Linked DNA regions of Oryctolagus cuniculus. The protein of the gene in region 3 purifies or fractionates together with the protein of the main gene of each other region. This does not show direct contact. Links are inferred from orthologs where the notes say so. Each region holds a gene or a part of one and is shown on either strand. Other genes may lie near its edges.

Region 1 (4,364 bases), on a different chromosome or scaffold from region 3:
AGTGGAAGATGGCCCAACTCCTTGGGCCCTTGCACATGGGAAAGACCCGGAAGAAGCTCCAGCTCCCGGCTTCGGATCGGCCCAATTCTGGCCCATATGGCCATTTGGGGAGTGAATCATAGGATGAAAGACCTCTCTCTCTCTCTCTCTGTCTCTCTGTAACTCTGCCTTTCAAATAAATAAATAAATCTTAAAAAAAAGAAAAGAAAATGGGGTTACCTTTGGGCTCCATCTCCATAGGCTCCTCTGTTCTCTCCTTCACCTCTGCCTTTTCTACTTTCTCCTCTCCCTCAGGAGGTTCACCAACGACCTTCTCATCCTCTGAGGCAGGGGCAGAGGGCTGTGCACACTTCAAAAGAAACAGAGACAGAAGATGAAGCAGACAGGCTAGCGTCTATCCACCTGTAGCATGGCACCGGCCACCCCGCCTCTCACCTCCATGGGGGCCTCGGGGGCTGCAGGTTTAACCTCCTTTTCACCTTCTGTGCTCTCTTCTTCTTTGACGCTATTTTCCTCTATCTTTATCCCATCCTCTGCAGACCAACAGGAGACAATCAATTAGGAAGGAAGTCATAGATCAGAGAGGTGGCCACGCCTTCCCCCATCTGTCTCATCTTAAATTGTCCTCTCGTGCCTTTAAGAACCAGCCCCATTCTTAGGACGGCCTCCTAAACTGAGAGGGAGAGTACTGTGTGTCCCGCCGGACTCCCCTGTGAGAACTGGGCACAGGCGAGGAGAGGCACAGGCCAGGACAGAGACAGGGACAAAGCGACACGACAGGCAGACTTACCAGCAGGTGGGGCAGGTGCAGGAGTATTGGGTTGTGTGTCCCCAGGAGTAGAGGGTGTAGGAGTCTTTGGGGAGGGCGACCCAGGCTGGGACATTTTCTTGTTTTCCTCTACTTCAGCCAGTTCGGGCATGCTCCAGCGCCCATTAACATGTTCAAATTCCTGAACCTGTGACCACAGGACAAGACACTGAAGACCCAAGTCCAGCCCTAGGCTCCTCTCCTGCTGGCCCCCAGTTTCCCTTGAAACCTTTACTAATGGAGAGAAGTTCGACGCTCACCTTCTTGCGAATCAAGGACATCACACCGATTCTAGTGAGGACATGCTGACGGGACAGGCCTTCTCGGGGCACACCATCGGCAAAGGTCTCAGCCCCATCTGCTCCCGGCTCGCACAAATGCCGCATAAATAGAGAGACATAGGCCCTGTAGCAATGCAGAGAAACGAGTTAAACAGGGAGTGCAGCAACTCCTAGATCAGACCTTTGCCAACCAGTTAGGCCTTGACAGGCAATGACCCGGCTCCCCCTTGAAGTAAAGCCCACCAACACGGGGAGGGGGGCTGGTCTGCAGGCTCTGTATAGCCCCCCAGGTTCTCTTCCAGGAAAGCTACAAAAACCAGGAACTCCCATTACAAACAGCTTCACCTGCCAACGTCAGCAAAGCAAAGAGCCTGTTTCCCTGGACAGCCCAGACCAGTACCATGCAAAGACCCAACAGTAGAAGTCCTTGCTCTAGACTGGTTGTCCTGGCCTTCAACTCACTTGAACTCTTTCTCTGACTTGCCTCGCAGATCTCTCACGAGCCACTGGGTGGTAAAAGCATCCTGAGGTGGCATCCCATAGCGCATAATTGCATTAAGAAAGGCTTTTCGCTGACGAGCATTAAAACCAAGTACCTGGGGGGAAAGGAAATCCAGGTGAATGGGAGCAGGTCTCACTTCATGGAAGACACAATACCAGCACTTGGCACCCCAATAGAATTGTACAGCACTTACTTCAATATTCCCCCCAACTCGGGCCAACAGAGGAGGCAATGGCTTATCTTTATCGTTCCGCAGGCCCTTGCGACTGGGCCTGCGGGGAGCTGCAAGAACAAAGGGGTGTGTGAGTGACACTGGTGGGACAGCACATAAAGCACTACTGAGCCAACTAGCAAAGCACAGCCCTCACCTTCTGAGCGTTCATCAAAGTCTTCATCACCTTCCTCTGAGGCCACCGAGTAATCGGACTGGTTGTCGGACTGGTCGTCCTGCCAATCTGGAGGGAGAGAGGGCAGATGAGCGGGGCCCACTGCTCTAGTGGAACGGCCCATGGGTGGGGGGCGGGGCCGGCCACACACACCTCGGTCCTCCTGGGAGCCATCATTGTAGTTGACCTGTTTACGGATTCTTTTTCCTTTGCCCAGATTTCGGGCTAGATCTTCTTGCTGCTGCTCATAATGGTGCCGCAGCAATTTCTCCCAGTAGTCAGGATCCACACTTTCTTCCTGTTTTATGATTTCCCGTTCTACCTCCTCTTCCTCCTGGGACAGAGGGTGGGCCAGGACTCAGGGGTGCTGAATTCAGCACCACCAGCTACCCCTGGCCCTCACGGTTCCCATTCTGCTAGCTCCTTTTCACAACTGGCCTCTCGAGTACTTGGCATGCCTGCTGGGACCTAAGAACTTAGAACAGATTAAATGGACAGCACACGGCGCCTCATAATTACGTGGAGTAGGAGTCAACACACTGAAGAAGCACACGTGTCACAGCTGTGATCTCAAGAGAGGGAGGAAGGGACAGTGTGCTTTCTTCCAGCCCTTTCCACTGAGACGCATAGAGTTGGGAGGCACAAGAGGAAGGAAAGAAAGGTTAGCAAGGCAGAGCGGGGAGGCTTCTGTAATACTGCAAAAGAGCTTCAGAGAGAAAACTAAAGGGCCACAAGCCCTGCGCTCTTCATAAACTTCACAGAAGTTTACCAACTATCTGCAAAAACAAAACAACAAGATTATATATATCCTCTCATGCTTCTCGGAAAGTCTTATAGAAGTTGTAATTTTCAGACATTTCATGATCGCTGATTAACTCCTAATCTTTTATACTAGAATTAAGCTAGTGCTAATAGCATAATATTAAAAACAAACCAGGTGGTCCATCATTATGCAACTAACTGAAACCCAAAATACAAATTTATCCAAAATCCAAAACTTGATTCTCGAGAAGATTCAGATCTCAGAGCATTTCAGACTTCTGACTTTCCAATCAGGCAGGCTCAGCTGCGAAGTCCACACAAATATTCCAAGATCTGAGAGCTCCAGCATCTGGAACACTTCTGGTCCCGAGCATTTCAGGGAAGTAACACTGTCCTTCCAAACAAGGACATAATATTCAGCGAGAAATAAGGGGGAGGCGGGTCTTTATGTTCTGATTCCTGTTTATCTCCAAGATCCACTAAGTATACAAAAGCAAGGTGAAAACATTACATACCATGAATTACTTTTGTGCTTAAAAGTAAACAAGGTGTTTGTGTGCATACAGATGTGTGCATATGTGTACATATGGTATGAACATGTGCATGTATAATTTGTAGGCACATAAAATATTTTTGGCGAGACAGGTAAGAAGCTGAACATCAGCTTCCCCTCCCCCCAGAGAAGGAAAGTAGGCAGGCAGAGCACAGAGTGAGATACTTTTGTGTCTTCTGAAACTGAGCCATGTGACCACCTTGTATCTGTTGAGATTTAAACCATATGAATTACTACTTATTCAAACAATAAAACTGAAAACTATTTTCAAAGTACACGGCAGCTGTGGTCACTACCCCGACAATAACTTGTACTCTCGTGCAGTCACGAGCAGAGATGACCAAGTGGGCACTCGCTGTCCCAGTCAAGCATGCCCAGGTGCACGCACTGCTGCGGAAAGGCACGCAGGGCGATTCTGATTGAGTGCCGCTGGTCTAGAGAGCTACATCAGGCTTTTCAGCCACAGGCACACATAAACTGAGGTTAGTAGCATCACCTTCAAGAGCAAAGACAACAGTTATAAATGAGAAAAACACAAGAATGTTTCTGGGTCCAAAGGATGAGAAAAGATGTCAGAGATAACCAAATACCTCTTTCTGCCAATTCAAAGAACCCCAAGTTCAATGGTTTAACGGAGACCAGAGGAGAAAGCAAACTTTATTTTTCAATAAATATTTTAAATATTTATTTATTTGAGAGGCAAAGGGAGAGACAGAGGGAGAGAGAAGAGATTAGCCATCTGCTGGTTCACTCACCAGTGCCCACAACCAGACCAGGCTGAAACCAGGAGCCAAGATCTCCATATGGGTCTCCCACACCAGTGGTCAGGACACAAGTACTTGGATCATCTTCTGCTGCCTCCCAGCACATTAAAAGGAGCTGAATCAGAAACAGTGCAGCCAGGACTCAGCTGGCACTCTGCTGTGGGATGGCGGTATTGCAAGGGGCCGCTTATCCTGCTGCACCACAACGGCAGCCCCTCATTCTTCACTGTAATACTCTATCATTTATGGAGGGAAAAGATCACCACCTGTGCATTGTTTCTTGGTTTTTACTAAAAAAGACCAAGAAA
Region 2 (4,364 bases), on a different chromosome or scaffold from region 3:
TAAAGTGCTACCTACCTCGGAAGATGGAACATTTAAAAAAGTCAGAGACTCCTCAGTTAACAGAAGGCCAGAAGTAACTCCTGGTGTAACAGGATTGAGAAATTTGGGGAACACTTGCTATATGAATTCTGTTCTTCAAGTGTTGAGTCACTTACTTATTTTTCGACAATGTTTTTTAAAGCTTGATCTGAACCAATGGCTGGCTGTGACTACCAGCGATAAGACCAGATCTTATAAGCATCCCGCCGTAACAGATACAGTAGCACATCAAATGAATGAATGCCAGGAAAAGGATATAGGCTATGTTCGCTCCAGACATCCAAGTTTATCATCAGGATTAAGTGGCGGAGCATCAAAAAGTCGAAAGATGGAACTTATTCAAGCTAGGGAGCCAAGTTCACAATACATTTCTCTTTGTCATGAATTACATACTTTGTTCCAAGTCATGTGGTCTGGAAAGTGGGCCTTGGTCTCACCGTTCGCTATGTTACACTCAGTGTGGAGACTCATTCCTGCTTTTCGTGGTTATGCCCAACAGGATGCTCAGGAATTTCTTTGTGAACTTTTAGATAAAATACAACATGAACTGGAGACAACTGGCACCAGCTTACCAGCTCTTATCCCCACATCCCAAAGAAAACTTATCAAGCAAGTTCTGAATGTTGTGAATAACATATTTCATGGACAACTTCTTAGTCAGGTATGGATTTGTTAAAATCCTATTTTCATCTTAGGGAATTTATATAAAGTTAAGCATAAAACACGACATAGTCTATGTGCATCTAGTATGCTGAAGGTAGTACAGTTTTTAGATCAAAATTAATGGTTTTATAAAAGTGCATAAAGAAGTCAACTCACTCATTTACAATTCTTTTCCTTCATGAATCCCTGGAAAAAGTTTCATGTCCCTACTATCAAAAGTTTGTGGGGGGAAGCGAGGAATCAAGAAGCACTTTTTTATTTATTTATTTTTTTAATTTGAGAGATAGTTACAGAGGGAGAGAGAGAAAGAAAGGTCTTCCATCTGCTGATTCATTTCCCAGATGGCTACAATGGCCGGAGCTGAACCAATCTGAAGCCAGGAACCAGGAGTTTCTTCCGGGTCTCCTATGTGGGTGCAGGGGCCCAAGCACTTGGACCATCTTCTGCTGCTTTCCCAGGCCATAAATAGAGAGCTTGACATGAACCAGTGCCCATATGGGATTCAGTATCTAAAATCTCAGGCACTATGGCATAGCAAGTTAAACTGCTTGGGACACCTGTATTCTACTTCTTATCCAGCTTCCTGCTAATGCAGCCAAAGGAGGCAGCAGATGGTGGCTGCAGTGTTTGGGACACTGTCATCCATGTGGAGACCCTGATGGAGTTCTTGGTTCTCTGGCTTTGACCTGGCCCCACCCTGGCTGTTGTAGGCATCTGGGGAGTGAACCACCACATGTAAGGTCTGTCTCTCTGTCACTCTGCCTTTTAAGTAGATGAGATAAAATGCTTAAAAATCTGAAAGTTGTTGTATGTCAGCATGACATTCCAAAAGGTTTAGTTTTGGGGCATTTCAAATTTTGGATTTTTTAACTAGGGATACTCAACCTGTATAACATTGATTCTCCAAGGTGTTAAGAAGAGGTATTTGGTCCTAGCAGTAAAAGGTTTAACCATGCTGCTGTATTAAGAATGGATATGGTGCACACTTGAGCAATTTCAAGGTCCAAGGAGTAGACCTAGAGCACTTGATAAAAGGGCCAAGGATCAAGGTCTGATAGTTTTAACAAGTAGATGGGGAAATTTTAAGGTGACCAAACTGTTTAAATCTAGAACAATCCTAATTTCAATTACTAGGTTAAAGTTTGATTTGTTGTGGAAAGGGAGATTACAAAACTAGAATCTTCCATATGATTAATGATTCTCTATAATGAGTAGAGTTGTTGGTGAATAATTACTGGACGTAAGGCTCTCTACTTTTCCATAGCACGAAACTTAAAAACATTTCTCAAAACTGAGACAGATTTTTAGGCCATTTTCTTCTCCTTGCATACCTTCCACCTTTCCTGAATTCAACCTGCATTGCAACAATGTCACCTTTTATTTTATAGAATACTTCTTTAGAATATTTGGATGTAATTCTTAAGTAATATCTATGAATTTTATTTTGGTAAATATTTCAAAACTGTAGATTCTGCAATGTGCCAGTTAACAAATAAGGTTATACTTGTTGTATACCATGCAATTTAATTTTCCTATCAACTTTGTTTTCTTTTCTATGCAAAAGTATTAAAATATACTGTAGTGAAATATATAGTTGTAGAAAACCTATATTCCCATAATACAGGAAATTTATATAAAAAAAAACTCATTACCTAATCCCAAAAATCACATAATCCATAAACAGAACTAAATATTTTGGTATATTTCTTTTCAGGTTTTCCTCCTGCATGTAAATAAATATTTTTTCCATAATCATTTACATTTTCCTGCTTTTTTCATTTGATATTGTAAAGTCCATACTTTAATGACTACTCCATAGTCACTAAAAATATTTGAATATTTTTAAAACATTGTTTATCATAAGTTTATACCATAACTTATTTAACTATTGCCGTTGACTTATACACTATTTCCAGTTTCCCCAATGAATATCATGATAAATTTATTTTTCTGATTTCCTTACAACAGAGTCCTAGTAGAATTACTTTGTCAAAGGGTAGGACTTTGATGCAATGACAAATTTCTTTTCAGAATGGTGATTTTTTTTGTTTGTTTGTTTTTACCATTTATAGTTCAAAAGATGTGACTGGCCCTGTGCCGTTTTTCCCCCCTTTATAAATGAATTTTGAAATTTTTATATAAGCTTTTTGTTTCACTTCCTTTAAACATGAAGTAAACTCTTAGGAAATTGGTTCACAGGAAATTCTAACAATTGGTTGCTGGAATGAGTTTTTTCTTTAATTCAAGAAACTTCTAGGCTGGCGCCGCGGCTCAATAGGCTAATCCTCCACCTAGCAGCGCTGGCACACCAGGTTCTAGTCCTGGTCTGGGCACCGGATTCTGTCCCGGTTGCCCCTCTTCCAGGCCAGCTCTCTGCTGTGGCCCAGGAAGGCAGTGGAGGATGGCCCAAGTGCTTGGGCCCTGCACCCCTGGGAGACCAGGAGAAGCACCTGGCTCCTGCCTTCGGATCAGCGCGGTGCGCCGGCCGCAGCGCGTCAGCTGTGGCGGCCATTGGAGGGTGAACCAACGGCAAAAAGGAAGACCTTTCTCTCTGTCTCTCTCTCTCGCTATCCACTCTGCCTGTCAAAAAAAATAAATAAAAAAAAATTAAAAAAAAGAAAAGAAACTTCTCAAAAGGTAGGCCCCTAGCACACTGTTCCATGTTGGGTTTTTGTTGTTGGGTGAGTAATTTATTTATTTTGAGAAGAGACAGATATCCCATTCATTGATTCACTCCCCAGATGCCCACAATAGTTGGGGCTGGGCCAGTGGAAACCAGGAGCTGGAAACCCAGTCTGAATCTGCCAGGTGGGTGGCAGGGGCCCAATTAATTGAGCCATTATCTGCTTCTTTCAGACCACTGATGAGCAGGAAGCTGGAACCCAAACCTAGACACTTTGATAGGGGCTGTGGGCACTCCCAGTGGCATCTTAACGACTTTGAATGAGGATTTTCATGTGATATTTGCCATAAGGGGGAATACGACATTATTTATATGTACTGTTATTTGAAATTATTAGTAAGGCTTCAAATTCTGAAAATGAAAATATAGTATTTTATTATGGTTAAGACAATGGATTGGGTTAAAAGGTTTTAGGATTTGGGGTGAAAAAAATCTTGAAAGATCTTTTAGTTCTATTTTTCACAAAGTTTTTGAAGTACCCTGTGTGTGTATATATATATTTATATATACATACTTATACACACATACATGTATGTACACATATTTATGCACACATATAATATATAATAGACAAATTAAATGAATACATAGCTTGGATTGTTACTTAAATTATAGATTAGATTAATACTCTTAGAGCAGGGCTGGCGCTGTGGCTCACTTGGTTAATCCTCCGCCTGCGGTGTCGGCATCCCATATGGGTGCTGGGTTCTAGTCCCGGTTGCTCCTCTTCTACTCCAGCTTTCTGCTGTGGCCTGGGAATGCAGTGGAGGATGGCCCAAGTGCTTGGGCCCTGCACCCACATGAGAGACCAGGAGGAAGCACCTGGCTCCTGGCTTCGGATCAGCGCAGCACGCCGGCTTTAGCAGTCATTTGGGGAGTGAACCAACGGAAGGAAGACCTTTCTCTCTCTCTCTCTTTCTCTCACTAACTCTGCCTGTCAAATAAAAAAAAAAAAAATACTCTTAGAGCTTTTTGAATG
Region 3 (5,110 bases):
TTTGTCCAAGGATCATCAACATCAACATAAATCAAATTAAACAGCTACTATATGCTAAACATCCAGATGATTTATCAAGCTTCTCTCTAGTTCCCTGAAACACCAAACATGAATACTAATAATTGTACCTAAAGGACTTCTAATTTTCAATATCATAAATTATAACTAGGAAGAACCTTAAAGACTAATTTATCTTGACAATTATTTTTCTTTATAATCACTGCTTCTCAGAAATGGAGGAAAAATATTTTCCAAAGTTCTCTATAACACAAATATATCCTGATTGCTTTGCAAGTTCCTCTGTCAAATGATTTCCCTATATTTTCCATATTCTCTTAATTCGTTCAATTATTAAAGTCCGTGTTTTCTAGCAACTGCCAACGTAAGTGCTAGGTATATATTAAGAAAAATAAGAGAGCCTCTGCCTCCAGGCAGTTAGAATGCAGTGAAGGAGCCCAATGCATAAACAAGTGATTACAATACAATTTGATACATACTGTAATAACAGTATGAACAAAGACTTCTGAGAACACAAGAGTGCCTGGAAATTGCGGGAGGGCCTCTGGAAGGTAAAGTTCATCATCTGATCAGGAACCATTCTCTGAATTTAACAAATTGCTTGTCTCCACTTATGCTCTCATTCAAACTAATGGTTTCACCAATCCATAGAGAATTCGTCATCATTTACAAAAAATGTATTCATCAACAATACACGCATAAAGACTTCAAGGATAACTCATATATCATTTCTCAGTGACCCCCAAATTCATTGTATGATCAACCGAGTTGTCAGTTTTTTAAAAGAAGCAGGCCAACTTTCTTACTCATGGCTCATTTAAAGGTTAATAATAAATTAAATTTACATCCCTTGAGAATGCCACTTCAAAGGATAAAAGATATCCTGGAAAAACTCCAGTGTGACCTAGAGAAATCTGCCTTAAAATTTTTAAATGGCCAAAACAGACCATCATTTATATGTACACGTGCAAGCAAAGCCAATATTAAAGTATTTTTGTTTTATCTAACTACACTAAATCAACAAGTGCTTTTTATATTGCTACTTAAACTAAGTAATTCTAAATTAAAAGATTCATAAAGCTTTCAAAAATAATTTAAAACAAAGTTTAAACCAATTTCTCAGACTTTTTTAAAAAATATCTATGGCAAGTACAGATAGTGATTATCAAATACAGAATACACAAGGGCAAAATTAGAATTTCTTATCCTAAAATACCAAAATTTCTGCCAAAAATCTGCACAACTAGCTCATAACAAAATACCCAAGGTTACTACTATTTTTAAATACATAATTGTCAGCAAATAACATGGACGTAAATGTGATTTCATAATGTCAACCCTTAGAGTAGCACCTGGAATGTGTTGCTCAGTGATGTCCAAAACGCTGCAAAATAGATGTAACACAAAATTTTAGACTGTATTTGTCTCCATGTCTCTAAAACCACAAGTTAGTAGATGCTTATTTGACCTTCAGATAGAACACTATGTGATCAGAAGATAGCCTATGTTTTTCTAACTTCCTTTCTTGGAACATATTCACTTTCTACAAAAGTCAGAATTTAAAAGAGCAATTTTCTCTAAACATTACATTCCCCAACACACCTCCAAAAATGGAGAATAGAATTCTTTATATCTAGAGTAGAACAGACTAGAATCCTGTATGCCTAATTTTAAGGGGATTATGTACAGGAAATTAAAATATGCCCTAAATATTTTTTATTTTCTTGCAAATAAAATTAAATAAACCAGTTAAGACTATATACTTGTTCTGCATTCTTCTAAGTGCTCAATAACAAAGAGTAATAGAAAATAAACTCCAAAACCCACGTATTGACAACACTCCACTATTCCAGAATTAGTCATTTTTAAAGGTTTAAGTGCTATGTTATGTGACATTAAAACATCATAAAATTAAACCTAACTTCTTGAAACCTAGAAAGTAAACCTCATAGTAAAACACTTTAAATAAAGATTCTTATTTCCAAATGAATCTAAATTTCACAGATCCTGGGTGAAAAACAAAGGAATTTTAGGTTAACTGTGGGCAGCATACATTCAATTTTTCAAGCAACGAACACTTCTGCATCCAGTCTTTTCAGACTCACCAAAGCTATTGTTCAGGGAAAGCAAGACCAACTAGTAAGAAACTGCTAACCCTAGAGCCTAAACACATATTCGGAATGGGCATTTTATCTGGATCACCTATTTCTACCATCAAATCTTCATTCAACCCCTCGGGATTGGGAAATAATCGCCGACTAAATGACAGTTGACTTCGTTAGCACCTGTCGCCAGTCCCAGATGTACCACACAAGTTAGTCAAAACAGCTTGTAATTTCTTAGGAAAAAAAAAAAAGAGTATGATTCTTTAAAAACTGGGAACTCACTATGCGTTCACCAAGTTTTCCGAAATCTCGCGCTTCGTGCGTCCTCCTATTTCCAAAAAGTCACCCCGCGGCAGAGCCGTGCTGCTGAGTGGAGGGGGTCGCACAATGAAGCGGGAACTCCACAGAACGGCCTCGGGGCGAACAAAACCCGCGGGGCGGACGCCAGCTCCGCGCTGCCCTCAAACTTCACGCGCAGCCCGGCGGGGAGGCGCCCCCAGCCCGGGTCTGCGGCGGACGCGGGGTCTCCGGGAGACGTCAGACGCCCAGCTCCTCCGGAGTTCCCACGTCGCGGCCGCTGCCCGGAGCCGGCGCGGGGCGGGACCGAGCCCTGCCCACCCGCGCCCGCGGCGCCCCGCGCCCCCACGCGCCCGCGGCCGGGGACCCCCGCGTCCTGCCCTGCCCTCACGCCGAGCTCTCCGGAGACACAGTCCGTCCTTTGTCTGAGTGCGGACTCGCGGCTCGCTCCCACCAACTTGTGTGTGTCCCGTCCCACCCGGGCGCTCCCGCGGCCCCGCCACACAAAGGAGACCTGAAGCTCGGGGCGACCACCCGGACCGGGCACCGGAACGCCCCCGGCCCCGGCGCCCCGGCGCGGGCAGCCCCGGCGCCGGGAACCCCCCGCCCCGCGCACGCCTCGGCTCCCTCCTCGCATCTCCGGGGAGGGTCCGCGCTGCCCCGCTCGCGGGGTCGCGCGGGCCGGCCCGCCCCTCACACGGTCCCCCCAGAGGGGTCTCCCCTCTCCCCTCCCCCGCGCCCGCGCGAGCGGCGACCGGGGAAGCCCCGCTCGGACGATACCGGGGACCGGCAAGGAAGCGGCGGGCAGGTCCCCGCGTCGCCGCCGCCCTGGGTCGCACTCCCGGAACCCCGCCGGCCGAGCTGCCGACAGCGCGCGTTACCTTCGTCCCGCGCGCCAACCCGCACCGCTCCCGCGCACCGCCCCCGCGCGCCGCCGCCGCCGCCGCCGCCGGGGCTCCACTGCCTTCTGTGTCCCACTGGGTGTCGGACGCGACCGGACCGAGCGCCAAACGCGACAGCCCAATCGCCATCGCTTTTATTTGGCCCCCCCAGTCCAATCAAGCGCCGCCCCGATTGGCGGGATGCGAGGCGGGCGCTCGTCCAATCACAGGGCCTGCCGGGCTCGGAGGCGCCGAGCGAGCCCCACGCAGAGCGCGCTCGGGACTCGCGGGCCGGCGGGCGCGCGGGTGCGCGTGCGCGCGAGCGGCGGGGCCCGGCCTGAGGGACGCGGCTCACCGTGTGGAAGCGCTGCCGCCGCCGCCGCCGCCGCCGTCTCTTTGTTCTTTGGCTGAACGCTCGGCGCCTCTCGGGAAAGCGGTGGGCACGGAAGGCGGGGACGGGGCAACTCTGTGGGGGCCCGGAGGCCGCCGCCGGCAGAAGGCGGGAAGGGTGGGGTGGCGGGAACCGGCTGGAGGGCGGGGCTACGCGCTCGCGGCTCTTGGCGGGAACCGGCGCCGTGGAGTTCCCGGCGGGGGAGGGGCGGGCGGCGAGAGCCAAGTTTGAACCAATTCAAAACTCGGGGGCGGTAACGGTTTTAACTGCCGCGCCGATTTCCCCGCGCGCGGCGCGCGGAGCGGAGCGGGGTTGCGGCGCCGAGTTTACGGGCGGACCTGCCGCGCGGCCTCGGTCTCGGGTGCCCCGCACGCCCGCCCCCCGGGAGAGCCGTCACTTTTACTTCGGTCTGAGGCGGCCGCTTTCCCGCCCGCACTCGGCTGGACTGAAGCCGGCAGAGCCTGCGGTGCCTACCCGTAGAAACCTGGGGCCGAGAGGCCGGACGGTTAGGGCCCCTTTGTCGTGGAAAGCGCCCCTCTCGGACCCTTCCTGGTGATTGTCGTTCCAAGCACGTGCCAGCGTTAAAATGTGTTTATTCAGGCTGCGTGCGGTTCACGTGCCTCACGCTACGTCTCTGCAGAGTATTAAAGCGATGGCAGCGTCTTGGGGTGGTTAGAAAGTGATGGGGGGGGGGGGTGTTAACCTGCCTCAAAGGCGTCAGAGATAAACTGCTTAGGGTACAATCTCTCCTGTGCCTTATCTGGCGACGAAGTTAAAAGTATTCCAAAGTTGTTTTCCATATGATGCATCTGTAGGGCAAAATACCCTTTTTCACTGGGATCCCACATTGGGAGATCAGGCTGGGAATTTTTAAAAGGTCAACTATGGACTGTTGGGTAAAAAGCCTAAAAAAATGTTTTATGAATTAATTTTGTAAGTTAGCCCATGATTTTCCCATCTTTGCTAAATCAACATCTAATTCCTCATATATTCTGAACCAATTAAGTGCTGGAAAATATATGACAGGAAGCCAAAAGAGAAAAAAAGCAATCATGTGCCCCCGTAAAAGCCAAATTACCTTACAAATAAATGTTGGAAAGAGTCCAGAAGTAGATGTTATGCCTCTTCAATGTGACTATAAAGTAGTGAACTCTGTTAATGTCACCAGTACATATCATTTTCCATGGTAAAATGTTCCCATCTAGACTTAACTATTTAAATCTCAAAAATTAACTACTTTTACCTAGATTGCTTATCAAATTATTGATTTTATCTCTCCTTTAATATGTATTAAAACAGTGGGAACCTTATTTAAATATTTATTCATTCATTTATTTGAAAGCCAGAGTGACAGAGATCTTCCATCTGCTGGTTCACTCCCCAAATGGCTGCAACAGCCAGGTCTGGGCCAGACAGAA
Region 4 (4,364 bases), on a different chromosome or scaffold from region 3:
GCATTCAGCTCCAGGGAATGATCCCTTCATGTCCTCAGGGCAGGGCCCCAACGGTGGGATGGGTGACCCCTACAGCCGGACTGCCGGCCCTGGGCTGGGAAATGTGGCGATGGGACCACGACAGCACTATCCCTATGGAGGTCCTTATGACAGAGTGAGGTAAGCATGGCCACTGCTCTTGTCCCGCCCTGGCACCCACTGCTCCAGCCATGATGCCCTCGAACTCAAACCACTGCTCTAATTTTGTCCAGGACGGAGCCTGGACTCGGGCCTGAGGGAAGCATGGGCACGGGGGGCCCCCAGCCGAATCTTATGCCTTCCACCCCAGACTCGGGGATGTACTCTCCCAGCCGCTACCCTCCACAGCAGCAGCAGCAGCAGCAACGGTGAGTGCAGCCTGGTGCGAGGGGGGCTGCGGCACTGGCTCGGCCCTCGCCTGCCCTCATCCTCAGTCTCTCTCCTGCAGACATGATTCCTATGGCAATCAGTTCTCCACCCAAGGCACCCCTTCCGGCAACCCCTTCCCCAGCCAGCAGACCACAATGTATCAGCAGCAGCAGCAGGTGAGGAGGGAAGCTGGGAATGGGTTCCCTTCACAGCCACCCTGTGGAAGTCTAAGAGCTGGTTTGGGTAGCTGGGTGTCCTCTCGCCCAACTAGCCAGTTCTGCCTGAAGAGCCGGGTCCTCAGTCTGGTCCCCCCAGTCCTCCAAAAGGGCTAGAAAGGGACTTGATTTTGATTTTTGAAGTTTTGCACGTTTTTTAACTTGGAGACTAGCGAGGAAGAAAGAGTGGTGGTTTCTTTGAGAAACAACTTAAGAAGATGCTTTGTAAAAGTGATTCCTTGTTCTCTTGGAGTCTTGAGTGCTCTCTTCTGAAGCGACAGATATAAGCCGAGTGTCCAGGTGTAGCATCCTAGCATCTGTGGGTTTTGTGTCTCTGGGGGCAGAGTATTAACTTTCCCTCTGCTTATCTCTTTTAGAATTATAAGCGGCCAATGGATGGCACATACGGCCCTCCTGCCAAGCGGCATGAAGGGGAAATGTACAGTGTGCCGTACAGCACTGGGCAGGGGCAGCCTCAGCAGCAGCAGTTGCCCCCAGCCCAGGCCCAGTCTGCCAGCCAGCAGCAAGCTGCCCAGCCTTCCCCTCAGCAAGATGTGTACAACCAGTACGGCAATGCCTATCCTGCCACTGCCACCGCTGCTACTGAGCGCCGACCAACAGGCGGTCCCCAGAACCAATTTCCATTCCAATTTGGCCGAGACCGTGTCTCTGCACCCCCTGGCTCCAGTGCCCAGCAGAACATGCCACCACAAATGATGGGCGGTCCCATACAGGCATCAGCTGAGGTTGCTCAGCAAGGCACCATGTGGCAGGGGCGTAATGACATGACCTATAATTATGCCAACAGGCAGAGCACGGGCTCTGCCCCCCAGGGCCCCACGTATCATGGTGTGAACCGAACAGATGAAATGCTGCACACGGATCAGAGGGCCAACCACGAAGGCCCGTGGCCTTCCCATGGCACACGCCAGCCCCCATATGGTCCCTCTGCCCCCGTGCCTCCCATGACAAGGCCCCCACCGTCTAACTACCAGCCCCCGCCAAGCATGCAGAATCACATTCCTCAGGTATCCAGTCCCGCCCCCCTGCCTCGGCCAATGGAGAACCGCACCTCTCCCAGCAAGTCTCCGTTCCTGCACTCTGGGATGAAAATGCAGAAGGCAGGTCCACCAGTGCCTGCCTCGCACATAGCACCTGCCCCTGTGCAGCCCCCCCTGATTCGGCGGGACATCACGTTCCCACCTGGCTCTGTTGAAGCCACACAGCCTGTGTTGAAGCAGCGAAGGCGGCTCACAATGAAAGACATTGGTAAGGAGAACTCCCTGCCTGGGTTGCTTAATCTGCCCCTTCCCACCTTGTCCGTTGTTTCTGCAAGCCTCATATTCTGGATAAGGTTGTATCTGGTCCAGTGTTGACTAAAAACCACAGAACTTGGGGTAAGGAAGAACTAAGCTGATGCCAGGTTCAAGGCCTTGCCATGCAGCGATGCCCCAGGGAGCTTAGACGCTGTGAGAGGCAGGTGTGTGTCATCTCTGGGTGAACCACCTTCCACCTCGTATGTCTCCAGAGTAGCCTGACTGATGGGGCAGCCCTGGGGTTGCCTCCAGCCAACCTGGGCTTGGTGGATGGACGACACAGAGGTTTATTTCAGGAACCCCGGAGGCATGGCGGGTAATGATGTCCCTCAAGTCTGGGCTCCTGGCAGAGAGCACGTGGGCATTAGACACCATTAACATCCTTCTGTATGACGACAACAGCATCATGACCTTCAATCTCAGCCAGGTGAGTACAGATTGCAAGGGCCCAAGGTCCTCTTCACACAGGTTAATACTAAATGGTACGGGGATGAAGCAGATGCCAGCCCATGTGGCCTGCCTCTCTCAGCCATCTTCTTGCTGGTATGCTGCTGTTTCTCTTGCCACTGGACACTGGCTCAGGACATTGAGAGCAGTAACAATTTGTGTATTCTATGTAAGAGACAATTACTGGTATTGGTTAAAGAAAAACTTGATGTTGGTGAGGATGCCATATTTTCTAGACCTGAGCAGAACTGAGCAGAGCAATTTCCCTGCTTTTCCCTCTCTCGCTTCTCCTCTTGAGCAGAAGAGGTCTTTGTTGATGCCAGGAGAGAGACAGAGAGAAAGGTGTTCCTTCCGTTGGTTCATCCCCCCAAGTAGCCACACAGCCAGTGCATTGCGGCTGGCGCGCTGCGCCTATCCGAAGCCAGGAGTCAGGTGCCTCCCCCTGGTCTCCCATGGGGTGCAGGGCCCAAGGACTTGGGCCATCCTCCACTGCACTCCCGGGCCACAGCAGAGAGCTGGACTGGAAGAGGAGCAACCGGGACAGAACCGGCACCTCGGGCAGAGGATTAGCCTAGTGAGCCGCAGCGCCGGCCCTTTGTTTGTTTGTTTGTTTTTTAGGAGCTGCTTGTTTTAAATGATCATCTTTGCTTTCATTTTACTTGAAAAGCAGAGGGACAAAGACAGATAGACGTCATCTATCTGCTGATTCATTCCCCAGATTCCACAATAGCCGGGGCTGGGCCAGGCTGAAGCTGGGAGACCTGGAGCCTCCATCCGAGCCTCCCCTGTGGGTAGCAGGAACCCAAGTACTTAAGCCATCCCTGCTGCCTCCCAGGGTGCAGTCGCAGGAAGCTGGATGGGAAGCAGAGTTGGGACTCAAACCAGGCACTTCACTGTGGGCTGTGGGTGTGGGCATCCCAGATGGAGCATAACCACTGTGCCCAGCTGCTGCCCACTTCCTCCCACACCCCATGCTTTTGTCCGTTTCTGAAAGGTGCTTGCACATTTGATTCTGCAGACCAGCACGTGCACCTTGAGTTTTCCCAGTAGCTGGGAAGAGTTTGTGCTGCACCATCCTACTCTTTGTTTTGATAGTCTTTAGTACCTACCATCTTGTTGATCAGGGAGCTGATGGGGCATTGTTACTGGTGGTGACTGCTTACTGTGCCCTCACTTTTTGGCAGACCATTAATAATTTGTTTCGTGTCATCCTCAGAGCAGGCCATGTAGTAAATAGTAAATGAACTCAGTCTCATCCTGCCCAGTGGGATACTTCCGATTCCAAAGCCTGACTTGATTCTCATTGTATGATATCGCTCCCCATGAGAAAGTAAAGGAACAATTCTGATGGAGCAATTTCCATGTGCCAGGCGTTTAACATATTCCATTCGACCTCAGAGCAACCCTTGTAAACTTTTAGGAATATTGATCATTTCATACAGCTAGCTAGTTCCTGGAAAAAACAGATTTCAAACTTAGATCTTTCTGATCCAAAAGCCTGTATTTTTTTCCACTCTGCTGCAGCCAAAGAGTAATTTGACTGGAGATTAATGTTTTCTTTTAGAGGTGTATGGCCTGTATAAAAGATCCAAGCTGGAATTTGGGTCTCCTTAGCATTGGCTCAGACCAGCGTTTAGAGCTGAAGCCTTATCCCACTGCAAGGTTCATGGAGGTGTACCTCCTGGAACGTCGGGGAGTTTGGAGAGGAGCGTACATACGTCTGTCCACACTGCACTCTCTTCTCTTAGCTCCTGTTGAAGGAGATCATCCCTCTGTGCTGTGTAGCTTGGGCTCAACTTGGTAGTGGCCTGTGGCGAGTGTCACAGGAAAGACAGTTGTGGTGTCCATTGAGTAGGAAAACCAGCCTGATGAAGAAAAGCAAAAGAGTGGTTGGGAAACAGAGACAGAGACGGGAGGCTCTGGCGGGTGAGGTGCGGTGCTGCTGGCTGGCGTTTCCCTGCCACTGGAGGCAGGCGAGTGTGCAGGTGGTGTGGGCGGG

The links. Proteins that work in one complex are often made in the same cells at the same time.
Region 1: the proteins of EZH2 (region 3) and CHD4 purify together in Homo sapiens (affinity purification with mass spectrometry; 5 studies listed by BioGRID, with this or other methods). This does not show direct contact. The link is inferred for Oryctolagus cuniculus from reciprocal best matches to the Homo sapiens genes EZH2 and CHD4.
Region 2: the proteins of EZH2 (region 3) and USP44 purify together in Homo sapiens (affinity purification with western blotting; 3 studies listed by BioGRID, with this or other methods). This does not show direct contact. The link is inferred for Oryctolagus cuniculus from reciprocal best matches to the Homo sapiens genes EZH2 and USP44.
Region 4: the proteins of EZH2 (region 3) and ARID1A purify together in Homo sapiens (affinity purification with mass spectrometry; 3 studies listed by BioGRID, with this or other methods). This does not show direct contact. The link is inferred for Oryctolagus cuniculus from reciprocal best matches to the Homo sapiens genes EZH2 and ARID1A.

Annotation. Positions count from the first base shown.
Region 1 is NC_091440.1:102,921,951-102,926,314, reverse strand, and holds part of CHD4 (chromodomain-helicase-DNA-binding protein 4), read right to left. Parts: intron 2,312-4,364; coding exon 1,960-2,311; intron 1,874-1,959; coding exon 1,785-1,873; intron 1,686-1,784; coding exon 1,552-1,685; intron 1,214-1,551; coding exon 1,069-1,213; intron 957-1,068; coding exon 791-956; intron 756-790; exon of another isoform or gene 620-755; intron 534-619; coding exon 436-533; intron 350-435; coding exon 220-349; intron 1-219. UniProt on the Homo sapiens protein: ATP-dependent chromatin-remodeling factor that binds and distorts nucleosomal DNA. Acts as a component of the histone deacetylase NuRD complex which participates in the remodeling of chromatin.
Region 2 is NC_091442.1:98,429,192-98,433,555, reverse strand, and holds part of USP44 (ubiquitin carboxyl-terminal hydrolase 44), read left to right. Parts: coding exon 1-700; intron 701-4,364.
Region 3 is NC_091434.1:174,689,206-174,694,315, reverse strand, and holds the start of EZH2 (histone-lysine N-methyltransferase EZH2), read right to left. Parts: upstream 3,469-5,110; 5' UTR 3,452-3,468; coding exon 3,201-3,451; intron 2,736-3,200; exon of another isoform or gene 2,406-2,735; intron 1-2,405. UniProt on the Homo sapiens protein: Polycomb group (PcG) protein. Catalytic subunit of the PRC2/EED-EZH2 complex, which methylates 'Lys-9' (H3K9me) and 'Lys-27' (H3K27me) of histone H3, leading to transcriptional repression of the affected target gene.
Region 4 is NC_091438.1:144,722,160-144,726,523, reverse strand, and holds part of ARID1A (AT-rich interactive domain-containing protein 1A), read left to right. Parts: intron 1-8; coding exon 9-159; intron 160-251; coding exon 252-386; intron 387-466; coding exon 467-563; intron 564-979; coding exon 980-1,871; intron 1,872-2,214; coding exon 2,215-2,345; intron 2,346-4,364. UniProt on the Homo sapiens protein: Involved in transcriptional activation and repression of select genes by chromatin remodeling (alteration of DNA-nucleosome topology).